Linked DNA regions of Macaca fascicularis. Each later gene encodes a partner of the first gene's protein in a complex. Links are inferred from orthologs where the notes say so. Each region holds a gene or a part of one and is shown on either strand. Other genes may lie near its edges.

The links.
Region 2: the proteins of ANXA11 (region 1) and TARDBP are in contact, whole or in part, in a cryo-EM structure (PDB 9FOR), measured with the Homo sapiens proteins. The link is inferred for Macaca fascicularis from reciprocal best matches to the Homo sapiens genes ANXA11 and TARDBP. Residues at the interface, in NP_001148.1 of Homo sapiens: Gly56, Met57, Ala59, Met61, Ser62, Gly63, Phe65, Asn69, Pro71, Asn72, Leu73; in NP_031401.1 of Homo sapiens: Ala328, Leu330, Ser332, Trp334, Gly335, Met337, Gly338, Met339, Ala341, Ser342, Gln343.

Annotation. Positions count from the first base shown.
Region 1 is NC_088383.1:66,602,238-66,613,734, reverse strand, and holds the start of ANXA11 (annexin A11), read right to left. Parts: upstream 6,551-11,497; 5' UTR 6,412-6,550; exon of another isoform or gene 6,344-6,411; intron 6,288-6,343; exon of another isoform or gene 6,111-6,287; intron 2,477-6,110; 5' UTR 2,293-2,476; intron 1-2,292. UniProt on the Homo sapiens protein: Binds specifically to calcyclin in a calcium-dependent manner. Required for midbody formation and completion of the terminal phase of cytokinesis.
Region 2 is NC_088375.1:223,779,880-223,790,668, forward strand, and holds the end of TARDBP (TAR DNA-binding protein 43), read right to left. Parts: intron 9,792-10,789; coding exon 9,628-9,791; intron 8,234-9,627; coding exon 8,093-8,233; intron 5,574-8,092; coding exon 5,403-5,573; intron 3,873-5,402; coding exon 3,342-3,872; 3' UTR 1,952-3,341; downstream 1-1,951. UniProt on the Homo sapiens protein: RNA-binding protein that is involved in various steps of RNA biogenesis and processing.

The DNA.
Region 1 (11,497 bases):
ATGTAAAGAATAAAATCAAGTATATCTGGCATGTGAACAGTCAGAATTCCTCTACCAAAGACAGAAACCACGCAATTAGGTTTGTTGTTGTTATCACTGCCTTCTGTCAACCTCCATCCACCCTCAACCATGTGCTGATTATAAGAGAAACAAATTTTATTTATGAAGATTCCATTTTCAAGATAAACTTCTTTCTTTTTTTTTTTTTTGAGACCGAGTCTCGCTCTGTCGTCCAGGCTGGAGTGCAGTGGTGCAATCTCGGCTCACTGCAAGCTCCACCTCCCGGGTTCATGCCATTCTCCTGCCTCAGCCTCCCAAGTAGCTGCGACTACGGGCACCCGCCAGCACGCCCAGCTAATTTTTTTATATTTTTAGTAGAGATGAGGTTTCACCGCGTTAGCCAGGATGGTCTTGATCTCCTGATCTCGTATTCCGCCCACCTTGGCCTCCCAAAGTGCTGGGATTACAGGCGTGAGCCACAGCGCCCAGCCTAGATAAACTTTTTTAAGTGAGAAACAGATATTTAAAACTAACGGTTGGGCAAAGACATACCAAATAAATGCAAAGAAAAACCAGAGGTGGAAATATTAATATTAAAAATAGGCTGGGCACAGTGGTTGGCCAGGTGCAGTGGCTCATGTCTGTAATCCCAGCACTTTGGGAAGCTGAGGTGGGCAGATTACTTGAGCCCAGGAGTTTGAGACCAGCCTGGGCAAAACCCCATCTCTACCAAAAATACAAAACTTAGTCTGGTCTCAAAATAAATAAAAATGAAAAAATATGTAAAATTCAAAAGTACATACGTGGAAGACTTTTCAATAATCCTGCCTTAGCAGGCCAAGGGGTTTTCCAGCCATTTCTCTCTGGCATTTGCCTCTATCTGTAAACACAGGACTTGGAGAACTACTCACTAGGATCTCAGGGTACAACAAGGCGTAGGCTAGTCCAGCCCGCTGAGAAAGTTTATGTGGCTTAAAACACAAGCACAGAGACGAGCTTACAACTTGGGGCCCACATCTTTCTGACCTCTGGCCCTGGGAAGTGTTTGTACTGGCTACTCTGTCAAAAGCTCATTTTGCTGCCTCGAATGAGGAAGGAAATGCGTAAATGAGAGGCACAGCAGTCCGCTCCTTGGACCTACAGGAAGCGGGCAAGAATTGCAAAGTAAGAGAAGAGGCTCCCAGGCAACGTCCCAGGAGTTTGCAAGCAAATCTCACTTTATCCACCCCTCCTAAAAATCTGGCTATCATGGGGACCATCAGGACAGCCAAGGACAGGGAGCTCATGATCATCAGTGAGACCTGATTACTAACTGCTCCGTATGAGGCTGAACAGAAACTAAAGGGGCATGGCTTGAATGTCCTCTGATGCCTGCGTTAAAATTTCTGAGCCTTTCACTTATTATCTTATAAAATGCACTTATTTATTAATTTTAAGACTATAAAGAAAAGAGATTCTTCCAGATCCTTGGCCACGTATTCTCCTAAAACACAGACAATATGGAATTTAAGGCCAAAGACCAAAGGCATTAAATAACCAGCAAATGACACAAGGTAGGAAGATCAGCTTGATAAGCCTGTATACACGAAACATGAAAGCCAAATTCAAAGGCTAGAACTCCCACAAATATAAATAGAGCTGGACTTTAAAAAACTACAGTGAGAGTTTTTGTTATACCTCTCAGAATCTGACAGCCAGGCAAGCAGGGATATAAGGGCAACTGAAGTTAAGAGATCTATCTAAAGTCAGTGTCCCGCAGAGTACCTATTTTCTCTTTTCACGCCCATGAAACATGTTAATATTTATCATGCAGTTGGCCACAAAGAAAATTTAATACCAGCCAGGTGCAGTGGCTCCTGTAATCCCAGCACTTTGGGAGGCTGAGGCGGGGTGGGGGGACTGCTTGAGGCCAGGGCTTTGAGACCCGCCTGGGCAACATGCTTCATTCACTCATTCACTCATTCATGAAAATGAATCCATTTTGTGAAAGGAGCAAACCCTTGCAGGCACCTAGGTCTGCCTGAGCATGGAGCGCCATGGGGAGGGATGTCGGTGGCAGGCCATCCACATGTTCCCTTCTGGGATTGGAAAGGGAGCAGGAGGGTAAATCGAGGCAACAGGGTCAAACACGTCCTCCTCGCCTTCAAAGCCACCATTTCAGAGCCTGTCTAAACTTACTATCATCAGATCCTCATGTCCTGCTACTCCTCACCCATTCATTCCAACCTCGCTTCTGCTCCCATCATCCCACCAAAGCAGTGAAGGCAGCTGCATCTTCTCCATGTCACTCACCACAGCCGCGATGCCAAGCTGACTACTCCATCCCACGAAGCAGACTCACCCTGGCTCCTGGGATACAACTCTGTGCTGGCTTTCTGGGCCCCTCTCAGGCAGCTCTTTTTCTGGGTCCTTTATAGGCTCATCTTCCTTTACTCAGCTGTTCAAGGTGAGTTCTTCCATCTCGCTGTGCCCATGACTTCAAACACAAACACAACCTAGACAAATGTCTGTCTAGCCAAGACTCCTCCTGAGCCCCAGACCCACCAGCTTATTTGGTATCTCAAAGATACCTCAAACATAGTATGTCCAAAACCAAATACATGATCTTCTTCATCCTCCAAACCTGGTCCTCATCCAGTGTCCCATGTCTCAGGGACACCAGGGGGATGACTCTAGGGTGAGTGGGGGCGGTCTCTTCTTTTAAGCACAGCACGCAGGGTGAGGCCAACAGTGGGTTCTCAGTAATGAGCCGTTCTACCGGAACATGCCTTGTCACCTACTTCCTAAAAATAGCCGTGACCTTTTTAGTGGACACAGCAAGCTCACATCTGCTATCACCACTCCTTCCCCACTGACACATGCACCCTTTCCCCCAGCGGTGCCACTCCCCAGGCTGGATGTGCCATATGCTCTCCAGCCTCCCCGTGGGTAGCCTCCACATTTCTCCTCTCTGCCCTCACTCAGATTTCCCCCCATCTCAAGTCCTCCAAGTCAGCCACCCCCAGGTGTGAGGGGCAGGGGACATCTGACTTCCCTCTCAATTTCCTTTCCTTCTTTTCTGCTAAGGCGGAGCCTAAGCCCCTGGAAAACTAGAGATCTCAGAACCAGGCTTTGACCACGGCATGCTCCACCCGCTGCTTCACAACTCCTGGCAGTCACACACCCACCATATCAACATTGTCATCACTACCCCCAACTGATCTCAAACCCCTTTGCAAACATCTTCTCATCTGATTCTCCATTCCAGGCAGGCATTTTATTATCCAGAACTGTTCTGTGTGTGGGGGGCTCAGTGTAGCTGGGTGGCTTGTCCCAGGATACCCAGCACAGAGAACTCTGTCCCCCAATTTCTTGGTTGCCCCCACCCATTCCTTCCTCACTTCAGCATGGGCAAGGCCAACTGTGGTCTGGGTCACTGTTCAGGCTGTACTTTTAGGATCCTCCCAAATAACAAACAACTATGTGACTATCAGGTCTTTATTTCATGGGTTATAGGAGACAGGATCAGTAGGCCTAATGTGTAACAGTTTCAGCGGTTATCAGAGAGTTCCACTGAACTGCAACAATTCCCTTTAAAAGCACAAATGCCCACCAAGAAAACCTCAGTTTCTTCATTCATCCTAACAGCTTTCCTATCTAGGTATCACTCAGAATTCCCACTATTCTGGGGGTCATGGGATCAGAGAGTGCTGCAGAGAAAAATCCACAGAAAGTGAAAAGTCTGTTTCCTTGGCAGTGCTGGTGAAGCACACCCTTGCACACACGCTTCCCCACGGGACCAAGTGCCAGGAACTGCTTCAGGCTTATGGGGGAAGACGGTGGCGAAGAAGAGAGAGGAGGCCGGGCACGGTGACTCACTCCTGTAATCCCAGCACTTTGGAAGGCTAAGGCGGGCAGATCATCTGAGGTCAGGAGTTCAAGACCAGCCTGGCCAACATGGTGAAGCCCCGTCTCTACTAAAAATACAAAAATTAGCCGGGCATGGTGGCGCATGCCTGTAATCCCAGCTACTCAGGAGGCCAAGGGAGGAGAATCATTTAAACCCAGGGAGCAGAGGTTGCAGTGAGCCAAGACTGTACCACTGCACTCCAGCCTGGGCGACAGAATGAGATCTGTCTCAACAAAAAATAAAAATTAAAAAAAGAGGGAGAAGAGGAGTGAATCCAGGAGGAAGGAGGGGGTGCACCAGAAAGGTCCTGGAACCTCTGATGTTCCAGCATTCAGCATGCATTTTGGTTCCACATTCACCTCCTGCCCACACCAGTTTCTTTTCTCTATTCTACAGTTCCCAAGAAGAACCCACACTAACCTATTCTGTCTCAACTCCCACTCCTGTCATCCCAAGTCACACATCACCTCCCCAATCATGTGAACTAGGCATCACTAATCGATCCTGGCCTTCTAGATACGTCCACCCAGGGTGAGCCCTTTCTATAATATCATGCATAAAGGCATCAGATGGGGCTTCCACTCCCACCTCTTAGTCCCAATTCATCTCCATCTCACCCTCCCCACATTTCTCTGCCTATCCAAATCCAGCCTTCAAGGTCCTATACTTTAACCACAGGGAAACTACTTCCCTGTGCTGCCTCTGTTGTTCAACTAACGACAACTAATTTTCTGAGCACCTACATTAGGCAAGGCCCATCCTGAGTGCTACCACCAAGAGGTAAGTCAGAAACAGCCTCCACCCTCCAGAGTCAGAAGACAGGGCAGAGATAAGCCACATGGCCACACAAACACTACGCACAAGGTGAGAGATGAGAACTGAGTCAGTGCTGGAGGGGCTGAGTGAGCTCAGAGCATATCCCATCCCTCCTGCTGGGCAGCAGGCACCAGGATGGCTCCCAGGAGGGTGGAGAATCCTGGGCCAGACGGGGAGGGAGGGCATTCCAGGAAGACAGACAGCATGAGCTTAGCATGAGCTAAGCCAGAAAGACGGTTCAGGAGAAGCGCATTTCAACTTTAGCTGAACCTTCCACTGCTACTATTTACTGACCCTTATACCTGATTATTTATGACCCAGGCCTGCCTCACACACTTTATGGCTAATCTGGGTGACACCCATCTGGGACACACAAGTGTGGTACAGCAGTCACCACCTGTTCTGACTGGTCCGTACCTGAGCGCTGTATGGTTATTAAATGAATGAATGCACTGAATCTCACAACAAACCTGTGAGGCAGGGATTAGTATTATCCCCATTTTACAGATGAGGAAACCAAAGCACAGACAATAGTCAGAGACAAGATAGCAAGGTATGCAGGAGCCTGAAGTAGTGGGCACCCAATGCCAGGGCAACAAACTGCCCTGGCACCTCACCTGGCCTCCCTTGTCAGGGAACACCTTGCAGCACAAAGAATGCGTTTAGGAAAGGGGGCCTGTTAATCCTCCTGGAATCCCCAACAGTTGACTGCCGCATAAAAGGAATGAGGAAAGCAATGAGAGAGCCAGTGAAGGGTGAGCATGCCCTGCAAACCTTTAGTCCCTGTTGCGTGGGCAGGGCAGGGGCTCGGCCTCACAGCTCCACTCCATGCCTAAGGCAGAGAACAGATGGGAGAACCACCACAAACGCCCAATCTCTACAGAGAGGTCACTGATTGGAGGGCAGAGACAGAAATGCCCCGGGCCGACTGTTTCCAGCTTGGGCTAGCACTGGCTGGCTTAACTTTTCCCCTCCAAAGTCTCTAGGTGACAAATTTCGCGTGTCTCCTTTAAACCAACAGACCGTTTTACCTTTCTAAGTCTTAAGGGCCTGGCCTGCACCCATGGGGAGATACAAGTCCAGGAATCCCTTCCTGAAACTGGGGATCAAAGTTGGGGAAGGGGCGAAGGGAGGCACAACATCGGGGATGGCTCCCGCATTCTCTCAAACATTGGGGAGAGTTCCTTACAAATAAACTGCAATGGTAGCAGCTCCCATGAATGTGCGTGCTCCCAGTTACGGAGGAAAGTTCCTGAAGATAGCCTTTTCTGCTTGCTCTCCCCCAGCCTTGCCTGAAAGAGCGCGCGCACCCCGGAGGGCCCCGCGGGGCTGCGGGGCTCGGCCTCCGGCATCCCTCCAGCCACCCGTTGCCTCCTCCGCCCAGGGTCACGGCCCCCGGCCTTACCCAAGCCCAGACTGAGACGCTGACCCCTGAGCCCGGGGGGGCCGGCGAGTGCACCCCGACCGCACAGGAGGGGGCAGCCCCCGACGCCGAAGCTTATTGAGGGGGCTGCCAAGCCGACACGGCCAGCCCGGGACCCGCCGACGCCTCCTCTGTCCCCCACCCCCACGCCTGTAATGCAACCAGGAAGCAGCAGGGCCGCGCTGGGCTGGGCGCGGGGCAGCCCCGGGCCTCACCTGCGGTGCCGCGGTGCACTGCCGCCGCCTGGTCCCAGGCCCCCGGCCGGCCCGGGACCCTCACTCACCTGGCCACGGGGACTCGGGACGCGAGGGGCGAAATGGGACTTGGGCGGGAGTGGCTCTCTCCGCGGGCGTCCCGGACGCGGTGCCTGGGTTCTGCCTGGCGCTGTGTCCCACTCCCGCTCGCGGGGCACTCGGGGCACTGGGGAGTCGCGGGCGCCGCAGCCTTCAGGGCGGGGCGGGAGGAGGAGCCTGCCGGGCGGAAAACTCCGCGGGCGCGGTTGCCCCAGGCGCCGGGGGAAGGGCAGGGAAGGGGCGAGGCCTGAGCGCGGCCCCGCCCCGAGATGAGGCTTGGGCAGGGCGGGCCCGCGAGCAGCAGCGCCCTTCCGGCTGCGCAGCTGCTCCAGGACGTCTCCGGCTCTGGAGGTCCCTCTGTCGCCCCTAACCCCCTGCAGCGCCCGGTGCAGCGCAGAGCCGCATTCGCCCTCCTGCAGGGGTGGGCATTTCCTAAATCCTCTCCAGCCCCGTGTGCGTCGTTAGTGACTCTCTTTAAGGTAAAGAAAACTTTTTACACTGAAAAGGTCAAACACATTTCTTTCATATCAACACTCAGTGGTGGTGGAGGGGGGAAGGTCACGCACAGTATGTGAGGAAGGGAGCGGTCAGTAACTATCATGGAGAAACCTGACCAACCACCCAGCCGTCAAGGTGACCTCGACAGCGGTAAATCATACTGATTGCATGCACCGCTTGTGGTCTTCCTCCCAAGAACACCTAATCCCACTGTAATCATGAGAAAAACATCACAAATCAATTGAGGCCCTTGCCATATACATGACCAGTACTCCTGAAAACTAGCAAGGTCATCAAAAACAAGGAAAGTGTAAGACACTGTCACAGCCAAGAGGAACCCACGGAGATATAAAAATGACATGTAAAGTGGTATCCTGAACGGGATCCTGGACAGATAGTAGGTAGAAACTAAGGACAACTGAATAAAATATGGACTTTAGTGCGTCAGTTTTGGTTTATTCATTGTGGCAAAAGCGCCACACCAATATAAGATGTTAGTAATAGGAAAAACTCGGGTTTATGAGAACTCCCTGTATTCACACTTTTTCTGTAAATCTAAAGACGTTCTAAAAAAAAAAAAAAAGCTTATTTTTAAAAGGTCACACAGGTAATATATGCATATATGGTAGGTATGCAATTTTTTTTTTTTTAATGTGTGGTGGCTGACACCTGTAATCTCACAGCACTTTGGAAGGCCAAGACAGCAGGATGGCTTGAAGACAGGGCTTCCAGACTAGCCTGGGCAACATAGTGAGACCCGGTCTCTAAAAAACTGAAAATAAAAAATTCAAAAAATGAATAAAAATTGAGATTCACTCTTCTCTCCACTCCCCCAGCCCACTCTTAGGCGTGTCCTTCCAAAATATCTCTCTTCAATACTGTGTGTGTGTGTGTGTGTGTGTTTACATAAACGTATTGTTTACAAAACAATATTGCAGTACTTTTCTGCAACATGTTTTTTTACTCACTATATCTTGGAGGGTCTTTCCATAGAAGCGCTCCCGAACAGACCTAGTTCTTCCCATCCGCTGCACACTGCGCGCCATCGTGCACTTCACCATTCTTCACTACCTAGCTCCTTACTGAAGGACATTTAGGTTGTTGCCTATGTTTGACTGTTACAAACAAGCTGCTGGTGCGATTTTCCTTTTTTTTTTTTTTTTTGAGATGGAGCCTCCCTCTGTCGCCCAGGTTGGAGTGCAGTGGTACGATCTCGGCTCACTGCAACTTCCGCCTCCCTGATTCAAGCAATTCTCCTTCCTCGGCCTCCCGAGTTGCTGGGTCTACAGATGCTCACCACCACGCCCGGCTAATTTTCATATTTTTAGTAGAGACGGGGTTTCACTATGTTGGCCACACGGATCTCGAACTCCTGGGCTCAAATGATCCGCCCGCCTCGGCCTCCCAAAGTGCTGGGATTACAGGCGTGAGCCACTGCGTCCGGCCCGATTTGCGTTTTAAAGTCGCTCCGAACAATAAAAGCGGGAAGGGCTGGAGGGGAGGCTCTGACCTTCTCCCTGTCTGGGCAGCTGTGCTGGTGCCGGGCAGGAACAGCGCCTTGCCTTGGGGCATCCTGGCCCCGGCCTCACAACCGGCCCTGAGCGCTCAGTCATATTCCGTGGCCGCTCCAACACCCCCGACCCCCACCAACAGGCGCGGCTCTCTTTCCGGGCTGGACCACATTTTTTGGACATGAGTCCGCGAGTGAGGGTGAAATTCAGGCCAAAGTCTCCAGAGCGGCTCGGAGAAAACGTCGCCTGGAACTGAAGAGCAGAGGGTCAGAGGCACCACCAGAAAGACTCTCAGAGTGGGTTACTACCCCGGTGGCGGCGCCCGCTGCGGCGTAGGAGATGGCAGGACTGAGGGCGCGGGTGTGAAGCCTCCAAGAAACTGGGTGAAGTTCCTGGAGTGGTAATGTCTCCAGGCGCTCTCTCTGGGCCCGGGGATTGGTCCGGGAAGGACTCCTGGCGCCGACCCAGCCCCCCTGCATGGACGCCTGCGCCAGCTCTGCAGCCCCACAGCGACCGCGAAGGCCAGCGTCTTTGAATGGCCCATTTTTCTCCGTGGCTGAGCGAATACCTAGAATACCAAGTTGATAATAAATCACGTAGGGTGGAATTCCTGCTGGATGTATACACCTTTCTGCGTCAGAGCTCTTCGAACCTAGAATGGTGAATTAGCTACCCCTGGGCTTACCCTTTTATAATTTTCAACAAACCTGCGTTTAGCCCCAGCTAGGTGCCAGCAAGCTACTAGGGACTGAGGAGCCTCTGCAGAGGACCCGAGCTGAGGTCCTAATCCTCAAGGCCAATGTCAGGGGTCACTGCCCAGGCACCCCCAGAGAACGCGGTGTGAAGGAAAAGACACCAAACTCGGTGTTCAAATGTGTGGGATCTATTCTAGTTCTGATTCTGACACTTGCAAGTCGTGCATCCTCCGAGCCTCGGCTTTCTCACCTATAAAATCTTCAACGTGACCTATAAAAATCCATAAAATCACCGCTGCTTCATTGTTTCCCAGGGCTCATAGAAACATCACACGAGGTAAGGGAAGGTGAGTGCCTGGTAAAAAATGGTGACTTGCTATATAGCTCTGAGTAGTATGGTGTATAAAGCTTCGTTTTTAAAAAAAATTTTATTTTATGTGAGTCAGGGCGCCCGGCCTCTTTTGTTGTTTTCTAATGAGTATATATGACTATCATTTCCCTCAAAAGTCTGCTTTAGCTGAATATCACAAGTTTTAATATGCTATGCTTTTGTTATCTCTTAGTTATAAATATTTGGATTTTGTTGTTGTTGTTGAGACAGAGTCTCGCGCTGTCGTCCAGGCTGGACTGCAGTGACACGATCTCGGCTCACTGCAACCTCCACCTCCGGGGTTCAAGAGATTTTCCTGCCTCAGCCTGCTGAGTAGCTGTGGTTACAGGTGCGCACCACCACACCCAGCTAATTTTCATATTTTTAGTAGAGATGGGGTTTTACCATTTTGGCCAGCCTGGTCTCCAACTCCTGACCTCAGGTGATCCACCCGCCTCAGCCTTCCAAAGTGTTGGGATTACAGGTGTCAGCCACTGTGCCTGGCCAATATTTTGTTTTTTATGTTAGTATTGTACGCTTAATTCGTGGACTATTTAGAAGTATATTTTCCATTCTTTTTTTGTTTTCAAACTTCAGTTTTTTAAAAAATAATAATAATCATTTGGGGAGGGGCCCAGTGGCTCAGGCATGTAATCCCAGCACTTTGGGAGGCCAAGGTGGGAAGATCACTTGAGACCAGGAGTTTAAGACCAGCCTGGGCAACACAGTGAGAGACGTCTCTACAAAAAATAAATAAATAAATAAAATTTAAATAAAAGTAAACCAATCATTTCATTGTTGATCTCTAACTTTACTGCTTGGACATGAGGAAATGTGTTCTTTTAGAATTTGTTAATGCTTTATTTGTGGCCTCATATACAGGTTTTTTTGGCTGTCCCAATTTTTGTGAATGTGTCTTCACTTTTTAATGTGTTTTTTTTCTCTCTCTCTCTCTCTATAGCTCTCCGTCTAGCTTGCTAATCAGGTTATTTACATCTTTTATCTCCTGGGGTTTTTTTGTGTTTTTTTTTTTTCTCTCCTGTTCAATCCATTGATTTCTGAAAGAGTGGATTTAACATTTCCCACTTTTATTGTAGTTTGTCAATTTCTCCCTCTAATTTAGTCTGATTTTGCTTTATACTTTTTTTGTGTGTGGTTTTTTGATTTTTGTTTAAGAGGCAGTGTCTCACCATGTTTCTCAGGCTGGAGTGCAGTGGCTATTCACAGGTGTGATTATAACTGCAGCCTCAAACTCCTGACCTCAAGCCATCCTCCTGCCTCAGCCTCCTAGATGACTGGGATTACAGGCATGTACCACCTCACCCGGCCCGCCATACAATTTTGAGAGCAAATTATTAGGCTCATGCAAATTAACATTATTTTATCCTTTTATGACTTATTCAGTTTTATTACTTTTTGTATTAATATTGTTATCCTGAGATTGCATTTTTCTAGTATATATTTTATTTCTCCTTTTTTACTCTTTCTGTATTGTTACTTAGGTTTATCTCTTGGAAATGACATTTTTTTTAACAAGATTTAAAAAGTTCATCTGAGTTTCTGTTTCTAATTTGTGAGTTTAACCAGTTCACATTGATAAGAATAGCAGAAATATTTGGGCTTATTTCTGCCATCGTTTGTGTTATACATATGCCCTTGAAATGGATATTCATCTAGAACACGTCAGTAAAATGCTATAAATTATTACAAACTGGAATTCTTCCATGCTGCTTGGTAAATAGCTGCTCACCCGAGACCCCACAGTGCCCCTACCCCTGACTTTCTTCTGATCTGGCAAAAAAGGGTCAATGCTTGTCACAGGGAGACCCTCTAGGACCTTTTCTGAGATTAAATTTTATAACTTGGTATGAAATACTAACATCTAAAAGACAACATAAAACTCAATCCACTATTACAACAAGACTGTCCATGATAAACTGGATAATGCTTCTATCAATTTGAGAAGTATTAAGATTAGACACTGCACAGAAAACTCAAAATG
Region 2 (10,789 bases), on another chromosome or scaffold:
AATACTTGGGCACAGTGATGCCTAACAAGAGCACAGATCACACAACAGTTGAGTCAAGTACAGAACACTAATACACAGTTAGGAGCTACTTTGCTTGTACTCAACAACAAAATCATACTATTACACATTATCTCTTGGATTACGGAGTAGTTCCTACTTTTTCCTACTAAGGACAAAACTTAAGTGCTGATTTAACCTTAAAAATCTCATTTCATTTTAGCTGGCTATTCCTTCCTAAAAGGTTTGAATAGCTAACATTCAAGTTTTTCAGTCTAACAGTTAACATTCCATGTAAAAGTTTACCGTGAGTCTTGGCCTCATTGCATATAAAGTATAAAGTACAACTTCTTGAGACTCAATTTTTATTTTCTTTTTTTAGACTCAATTTTTAAAGGTAACTTTCCAGCATCTGTATGTCACATATAAAAAGAAATCGTGTTTTTCCAGTAAGACTCCAGACACTAAACTGTGGTGTCAAAAAAATTTTTTATTTAGCTGGTTCAAAAAATTTTTTAGAATGAATGCATTTAGATGACCAAATAGATTTTTAAAAACAAATCTTTGCCAAATAGTTTAAGTACTTCTAAACTTCAAAATCTTTTTAGGGTAAAATAAATACCCGTATCTATGCAGTACCATAAACATGTTAATAAAAGGCTACTCAACATTGAAAGCCTTCTAAGACCAGTAACTGAAATTTACACAAGTGTAAAGAAGGGATTAAACCATGCCGTCGACAAGTTAACTTACCCCTGGGCTTCTTGAAGGCTTGTCAGTTTAGTCTTTGGAGGTCCCCGAGTACCATTTTAAGTGTTACCATGTTACTGCTGCTGAGTAATAGTGCAAGTGCTAAAATGCAAAATTCAGATGGTACAGGGTTTGGAAATCATGCAGATTTAGATGCAGATTAAAAAAAAAATTAAAACAACTCAAGATCCCTTTACAGAGGAAACCAAATAACGAAACAATGTGGCGATTACAAGTCTACAGGATGACTTCATTTATAAATGTTTAAAACACGTAACTTGCAAAATGACAAACCTATTTATCATAATCTAATTAGGTAAGGGCATTAACTACTAACACAACAAATGTCGCATTCTTCCAACTATAGAAAATGAGCTCAACTCTCACAGAATTAGTTACAAAAAAGTACAACAGAGAATCAATGTTATTGCTTTTACATACTTAACAATGCATTGTGAGAGTCTGAGTTTTGTAAGTGATTTTATTCAACTTTATTCAATGTTACCACATTCCCCCACCTCCTGGAGGACGAAGCCCATTCCACTTAACACTTCCAGACAGACAACCCACCCTAATTCTTAAAGCTATCAGGCCTCTTAATGGATTTCAGGCACAAGATAATTTGTGGTTTCTTCTACTTTATCCCTATTGCAATTAATTCCACTTTTCAAATCTCAAACTAGGAAGGTACTGATACTCCCTTTTCAATTGATATGCTTTGCTACAAAGCATTAGAAAATAATCAACATTTTGCCCACTCTCCCAAATAATCTTTTTAGAAGGAATGATTTCCCAATGGAGATTTATACAGGCCATGTAAATAGAACATCACCCAAATGCACAGAGGCACTAAGAAAAAGCCGGAGGGTACTGCTTACCATTTTAGGTGCGGTCACCCAGACTTATTCAAAACTAGATTTCAAAAGAAAAAAAAACAAAAACAAAAAACAAAAACAAAACAAAAAAAAAACTTTTCACTTTGGCCAATGCAAGAACAAATACCAATTAAGTCTGGGTATCAGGTGTCAATGCATGACAGGTGATGAATCCATTTGACTTGAGACAACTTTTCAAATAAGTTTATTTGAAGCAAAATAAACTACTGCCAAGAAACTTTATGAAAGTTCCATCTCAAAAGGGTCAAAAAAGGGGAATTAACTGCTATGAATTCTTTGCATTCAGGGCTGCAAAACAAAGACACATATTATTTAAATCAGTTTTATTTAAGAATTTCCAACAATGACAACTCTTATAAAAAGCATCCAAGCACAGGACACAGAACTGCAGCAAACAGCATTCTTATGGGTAGCTAACAGACATTAGAACTTCCACCCTTCTTTGAGACACCTGAGCTCACTGGTGAACTCTGCTTCAAGTCCTCCTGCAAAGCACACCACAAGCTCAGTCCATGTTCTCAGCCCATCAGCTTCAGTTCACATTGCCACACTTACATATCAGTAACAGAAGAGAACACACACCATACAGCATTCACAGCAGTTGACAAAGGGGTAGGGGGAGTACAAGTATCATTTCACTTAACACATTCAACTAATGTGGGTTATCTAAGAACAAAAACTCACTTAAAGTCTTCCAACAGATGTGGATGTCCTTTGAATGCAAAAAACATTCGTACATTATTTGCTATCATTGCTCTCTGCACACTCTCTCACCAAAGCCACAGGATTGAGAGACACATCTCGCCAAGTTAAAAAATATCCATTATGCACCACCAAGTCTCTGCACGCGCTCTCTCCTTTTCTCGCTCATACTAGCCTTTCATGCCTCGGCACCACCATCAATCCCACACAAGGTTTCAAAAGTTCAAACAGCCTTCTGGTTCCATATCACAGCCTTGCGTTCATAGCGTTGATACGACTCCATGAAATAAAGAGTAGCGGATAAAAATGGGACACCCACCGTCAAAGACGCGGCCTGTGATGCGTGATGACGAATTCTTGAATGAGAAAGCATGTAGACAGAAGTATTCCTATGGCAGAATATTTACAGCACTACTTTCAATGAAGTGCTTCTTCCATAAACATTTGAAATGAGATGAACTGCAGAGATTAAATGAAGGCTTCATATTGTACTTTTGTATATGAGGGGAGACAAGTGTTAAAAAACAAAACAAAAGAACCAAACACTGTGACACCATGATCTCCTAAAAGGAGATTTTCTTAAGGAAAAAAATCCATATGGTGGGGTTCAAATTAAAACAAGGGGTAAAGAATGTAGTTCTAATCAATGGTTTCCATTTTGAACATGCAAAGAATTCACTTGACAAGTCCAGGGATAAAATATTACAGGAGAAACCTTTTGATATCAATTGTAGTGTGTTGGTTTACCAATCAGGCAAACAGCAGTTCACTTTCAACCACTCAATATTTCAACCTTTCATGTAACAAAACTTATAAAATTCCTTTAGCTCTTCCTTTTTCTAAAGAAAAATGTCAAAAATACTGCTGAATATACTCCACACTGAACAAACCAATTTTGAAAATTCTTAGTACATACGTATTTTACAATATACTTACCATGAGTTTAGAAAAATTTGAATTCCCACCATTCTATACCACCAACCACAACCCCACTGCCTACATTCCCCAGCCAGAAGACTTAGAATCCATGCTTGAGCCAAAGCCTCCATTAAAACCACTGCCCGACCCTGCATTTGATGCTGATCCCCAACCAATTGCTGCACCAGAATTAGAACCACTATAAGAGTTATTTCCAGAACCGAAGGCCTGGTTTGGCTCCCTCTGCATGTTGCCTTGGCTTTGGTTATTACCCGATGGGCCTGACTGGTTCTGCTGGCTGGCTAACATGCCCATCATACCCCAACTGCTCTGTAGTGCTGCCTGGGCAGCAGCCATCATGGCTGGATTAATGCTGAATGCACCAAAGTTCATCCCACCACCCATATTACTACCTTGATTGTTTCCCAAACCAGCTCCACCCCCTCTGCTATTACCAAATCCACCCTGATTCCCAAAGCCACCTGGATTACCACCAAATCTTCCACTTCTTTCTAACTGTCTATTGCTATTGTGCTTAGGTTCGGCATTGGATATATGAACGCTGATTCCTTTAATGATCAAGTCCTCTCCACAAAGAGACTGCGCAATCTATAAGAAATAAGGGATGTAAACAAAGAAGATTAAACCATTGATTCATACATTTAAAGTAGCAACAAAACTTAGATTACAAGCATTAATTTATCTAAAGCCAGAGGAAAAATAAGCAATGACTGCTCATTTCATTTAAACCCCCAATACAGCTTTTAGTTTTATTAATAGCAGCAGTGATATTTCCGTCGATTTTCAAAAGACATAGGCTGGACATGGTGGCTCATGCCTGTAATCCTAGCGCTTTGGGAGGCCAAGGTGGGAGGACTGGGTAAGGCTAAGAGTTGAAGACTAGCCTGGCAGCCTGGACGACACAGGGAGACCCCACCTCTATTTAAAAAACCCCACAAAATGCCACATTAGCTGGGCATAGTGGCATGTACCTGTCCTAGCTACTTAGGAGGCTGCAGCTGAAGGATCCTCCCCTGGAGGCTGAGCCCAGGAGTTCTAGGATGTAGTGAGCTTTGATTACACCACTGTGTTCCACCAGCCTGGGCAACGGAGTGAGACCTTGTCTCAAAAAAAAAAGGGGGGGGGGACCAGGAGCGGGAGCAGTGGCTTGCGCCTGTAGTCCCAGCACTTTGGGAGGCTGAGGCAGGTGGATCACCTGAGGTCAGGAGTGCAGGACCAGCCAGACCAAAACAGTGAAACCCCGTCTCTACTAAAGATACAAAAAAATGGCCAGGTGTGGTGGCTCACACCTGTAATCTCAGCACTTTGGGAGGGAGGCTGAGGTGGGCGGATCATCTGAGGTCAGGAGTTTGAGACCAGCCTGGCCAACATGGTGAAACCGTGTCTCTACTAAAAATACAAATAAATTAGCTAGGCGTGGTAGCAGGCGCCTATAATCCCAGCTACTTGGGAGGCTGAGGCAGGAGAACTGCTTGAACCCATTAGGTGGAAGTTGCAGTGAACCGAGATTGTGCCACTGCACTCCAGTCTGCGCAACAAGAGCAAAACTCTATCTCAAACAAAAAACAAAACAAAAAATGGTATATAACATTCCCAAATGCCACATACTGAAAACTATCTAAAGGTATACTTACTTTTAGATTTTTTAAAAATATTACATTTGGGATATCAGATACAGGTATCACAAACGTCTAGGCCCATACACCCTACATCTTACAAGGTCAGAAAACTCAGCTAAGACTAGCAATTAGCTGGATGGGAAATGTTCAAGAGAAATTACCTAATTACCTGGGACATATTTTTTTTTGAGACAGTCTTGCTCTGTCACCAGGCTGGAGTGCAGTGGCGTGATCTCAGCTCACTGCCACCTCCGCCTCCTGGGTTCAAGTGATTCCCCTACCTCAGGCTCCAGAGTAGCTGGGACGACAGGCGTGCACCACCATACCCAGCTAATTTTTTTTTTTTTGTATTTTAATAGAGACAGGGTTTCGCCATGTTGGCCAGGATGGTCTTGATCTCCTGACCTCGTGATCCGCCCACCTCAGCCTCCCAAAGTGCTGGGATTACAAGCATGAGCCACCACGCCTGGTCGGGACATATTGTTAAGGAGAAAAATACCTGATCATCTGCAAATGTAACAAAGGCAAAGGCCCTGAACGGCTTGGGGATGAAGACATCCATCACATCCCCGTACTGAGAGAAGAACTCCCGCAGCTCATCCTCAGTCATGTCCTCTGTACAGCGCCCCACAAACACTTTTCTGCTTCTCAAAGGCTCATCTTGGCTTTGCTGATCAAATCAAAAGGAAGAAAAAAAAACTCAGAAATATGTTATGAACAATGAAAAAAGCATTAAGGTAAGGGATATAACAAAATCATTCTGCCTTGGATAGCAGTGAATCATTAAAAAGTAGACATACCCTTCATTTTTTGCATCAGCATTTTTTTTCTTAAAAGGCTTCAGTGAAGAGTAACGTTTTAAGTTACAAAAGTACAGTCATGCATCACATCACGATGGACATATGTTCTGAGAAATACATCATGAGCCATTACACAATTTCATCATTGTGGCCAGGTGTGGTGGTGAACGCCTGTAATCCCAGCACTTTGAGAGGCCGAGGCGGGTGGATCACCTGAGGTCTGGAGTTCAAGACCAGCCTGGTCAACATGGTGAACCCCCAGCTCTACTAATACAAAAATTAGCTGGGTGTGGTGGCAGGTGCCTGCAATCCCAGCATCTTGGGAGGCTGAGGCAGGAGAATCACTTGAATCCAGGAGGTGGAGGTTGCAGTGAGCCAAGATTGCACCTTTACACTCTAGACTGAGCAACAAGAGTAAAACTCCGTCTCAAAAAAAAAAAAAAAAAAAAAAAAAAAAAAAAAAAAAAAAAAGGCCGGGCACAGTGGCTCACGCCTGTAATCCCCACACTTTGGGAGGCCAAGGCAGGTGGATCACCTGAGGTCAGGAGTTCAAAATAAGCCTGACCAACACGGAGAAACCCCATCTCTACTAAAAATACAAAGTTAGCCAGGCATAGTGGTGCATGACTGTAATCCCAGAAGCTCGGGAAGCTGAGGCAGGAGAATTGCTGGAACCTGGAAGGCGGAGATTGCAGTGACCCAAGAGCACGCCATTGCACTCCAGCTTGGGCAACAAGAGCAAAACTCCGTCTCAAAAAAAAAAAAAAAAAAAAAAAAAAGCCAGGCGCAGTGGCTGGGCAGATCATGAGGCCAGAAGATTAAGACCATCCTGGCGGCCGGGAGCGGTGGCTCAAGCCTGTAATCCCAGCACTTTGGGAGGCCGAGACGGGCGGATCACAACGTCCGGAGATTGAGACCATCCTGCCTAACCCGGTGAAACCCCGTCTCTACTAAAAAATACAAAAAACTAGCCAGGCGAGGTGGCAGGCGCCTGTAGTCCCAGCTACTTGGGAGGCTGAGGCAGGAGAATGGCATAAACCCGGGAGGCGGAGCTTGCAGTGTGAGCTGAGATCCGGTCACTGTACTCCAGCCTGGGTGACAGAGCGAGACTCCATCTCAAAAAAAAAAATAAATAAATAAAAAATAAAAGACTATCCTGGCTAACATGGCGAAACCCCATCTCTACTAAAAATACAAAAAATCAGCCAAGCGTGTTGGCAGGCGCCTGTAGTCCCAGCTACTCAGTAGGCTGAGGCAGGAGAATGGCGTGAACCCAGAAGGTGGAGCTTGCAGTGAGCTGAGATCGCACCACTGTACTCCAGCCTGGACGACAAAGTGAGACACTGTCTCAAACAAACAAACAAACAAACAAAAGATCGTCATTGTGCAAACATCATATAAACCCAGATAGCACAGCCTACCCCACACTTAGGCTAGATGGTATAGCCTATTGCTCCCAGGCCACAAACTTCCAAGTTACTGTACTCAACACTGTAGGTGACTGACTGTAACATGATTGTAAGTATCTGTGTATCTAAACATAGAAAGGGTACCATAAGGCCGGGCGCGGTGGCTCAAGCCTGTAATCCCAGCACTTTGGGAGGCCGAGACGGGCGGATCACGAGGTCAGGAGATCGAGACCATCCTGGCTAACACAGTGAAACCCCGTCTCTACTAAAAATACAAAAACTTAGCCGGGCGGGGTGGCGGGCGCCTGTAGTCCCAGCTACTCGGGAGGCTGAGGCAGGAGAATGGCGTGAACCCGGGAGGCGGAGCTTGCAGTGAGCTGAGATCCGGCCACTGCACTCCAGCCTGGGTGACAGAGCGAGACTCCGTCTCAAAAAAAAAAAAAAAAGAAAGGGTACCATAAAAACAGTGTTATAATCTTATGGGACCACTGCTGTACACGTGGTCTGCTGCTGACTGATGAACTTTGCCATGTGACGCATGACTGTATTTGGATTTGAGAAAATCAATAAATACGCAATCTCCTGGCAAAGATGATGATGTTCCAAATAAGCAAATGTTATTTGTTTGCTTGGAAAAAGGTCTTTATAACAAGATTAATGTACGTATTCTGATTGTCTTTATGTTTTAACATATAACTATGTAAGAAACTGTTAACTTGACAAATAATCTTTCCTCTTTTCCATGCATAACAAAAAGGAAGAACAAAATGAACAAAGGTTTCATTTGGAGAAGTAATAAACTAAATATTTCAAACAAGCATAAAATATTCAGCATGCATTAAGGGCCAAAGACTTCAACAAGACAAAAGGATTTCATGAACACACCCTACCACTATCTTTTCTAAGTGTGTTTACATTTTATCTTACAATCTTCTAAGGAAGTTTGTCAGCAAAAAATCCCAAAGCACAGACCCAAGTACCTTAGAATTAGGAAGTTTACAGTCACACCATCGTCCATCTATCATATGTCGCTGTGACATTACTTTCACCTGTGTTTCATATTCCGTAAAACGAACAAAGCCAAACCCCTTTGAATGACCAGTCTTAAGATCTTTCTTGACCTAGAAAGGATGATTTAAGTTTACTCTAACAGTACACATACACATTCCACGCCCAAATCATAGTTCCTTAAAAAACAATTTGAATGGTTTTAACTGGATGCAGTTGTTTAAAACTTAAACCAAGTTAGTCTTCAGAGTAAAAACAAGGAGGTTAATATTGAATCCATACCGTGTTAACAATAGAGCAAAACTCACTTATACAACAGAAATGTTTTTGAGTTCTTAAAAAAAAGAGAGATGGGGCCAGGCGTGGTGGCTCACACCTGTATTCCCAGCGCTTTGGGAGGCTGAGGAGGGTGGATAACTTGAGCACAGGAGTTAAAGTCCAGCCTGGGCAACACAATGAAACCCTATCTCTACAAAAAATACAAAAATTAGCCAGGTATAGTGGCATGCGTCTGTAGTCCCAGCTACTTGGCAGGCTGAAGCACAAGAATAGCTTGAATCCAGGAGGCAGAGGTTGCAGCAAGCCTAAATTGCACCACTGCACTCTAGAGCCTGGCTGACAGAGCCAGACCCTGTCTCCAAAAAGAAAAAAAGAGAAACTGAGTCTGGATTATGTTGGCTAAGGTGGTCTTGAACTCCTGGCCTCAAGCAATCCTGAGTCTGGATTATGTTGGCTAAGGTGGTCTTGAACTCCTGGCCTCAAGCAATCCTCCTACCTCAGCCTACCAAAATGCTGGGATTACAGGCATGAGCCACCACAACAGGATTTTAACAGAATGTCTTAGAATGAATTCAAAGATAAAAAGCTATTATCACCTAATTCCCTTAAGCCTTCATGCAACAGCAGGATTTTACAATATTGAAGGTAATAATATAGAGTACAAGATATGTGTGTAAATATAACAAATATTGGAAGTATCATTTGTGTAACAGGAAGTACAGTGCCATTAAAATAACAAGAATATGGCCGGGCACGGTGGCTCACACCTGTAATCCCAGCACTGGGAGGCCAAGGCAGGTGGATCACCTGAGGTCAGGAGTTCAAGAACAGCCTGGCCAACTGGTGAAACCCTGTCTCTACTAAAAAATACAAAATTAGCCAGGCGTGATAATGTGCGCCTGTAATCCCAGATACAGGAGGCTAAGACAGGAGAAATCGCTTAAACCCAGGAGGTGGAGGTTTGCAGTGAGCCAAGATAGTGCCACTGCACTCCAGCCTGGACAGCAAAGTGAGACTTGGTCTCCAAAAAAAAAAAAAGTAACAAGAATGTGGCTAAGGCATCATGGCTCAGCACACTGGGGTTGAAGTGGGAGGACAGTTTGAGCCCAGGAGTTCAACACCAGAGCATAGGCAACATAGTGAGACCCCATCTCTATGTATACCAATAAATAAATGCTAGATGCTCATTCACTGTAAAGAAAAACTGTTTGATGCAATCGAAGTTTACCTGCACCATAAGAACTTCTCCAAAGGTACTAAAATACTCTTTCAGGTCCTGTTCAGTTGTTTTCCATGGGAGACCCAACACTATTAAATCGGATGTTTTCTGGACTGCTCTTTTCACTTTCACTGCTGATGAAGCATCTGTCTCATCCATTTTTCTTTTGTTATCTAAATAAAATGAGCAGAAACCTTTTAGACTTAGCACTTCTTTAAAAACACTACCTCCTACATCCAGAAATGAGAAGCAAAAAGGAGACTCTAAGAAGAGTAAGACACTGAAAACTTGCAAGAAGTGATTTTTGCTCTAGAGGACAGAATAAAGGCTTAAGTTTAGTGTCTGAGGTGCTTTTCTGGTGCAAATTCAGTGATTTCCAATTTTGTTTTTTGTAGTACTTCCAGATTACAATCTCTCTCAAAAGGTTTATCAAAACAAAAATAATTCTACTTCACTTTGACTTTAAGTATCAGCAACTTGTATCTCCCGATGTAGATTTCACTTTTATCTTTCCTAAACATTCGACAATACACAGCTTTTGCAATAAAATGGAAAACCAGGCACAGTGGTGTATATGCCTGTAAGTTCCAACAACTCAGGAGGCTGAGGAAGGAAGTTCCAACAAACTCCTGCCTTAGAGTCCAGGAGTTTGAGGCTGCAGGGTGTCTATGAACAGCCACTACAATATGCCTAGGCAACAGAGCAAGAGCCCCCATCTCTAATTTCAAAAAAGAAAAAGAAACCAAAAGTTTGGCTTACTTAAAAAAACATAACCAGCTGGGCATGGTGGCTCACACCTGTAATCCCAGCACTTTGGGAGGCTGAGGCAGGTGGATCACAAGGTCAAGAGTTCAAGACCAGCCTGGCTAAGATGGTGAAACTCCATCTATGCTAAAAACACACAAAAAAATTAGCCGGGCTCGGTGGCAGGCGCCTGTAATCCCAGTTACTTGGGAGGCTGAGGCAGGAGAATTGCCTGAACCCAAGAGGCAGAGGTTGCAGTGAGCCAAGATTGTGCCACTGCACTCCAGCCTGGGCGAGACTTTGTCTCAAAATAAAATAAAATAAATAAATAGATAAAAATACAAAAATTAGCCGGTCGTGGTGGCAGGCGCCTGTAATCCCAGCTACTCAGGAGGCTGAGGCAGAGAACTACTTGAACCCCAGAGGT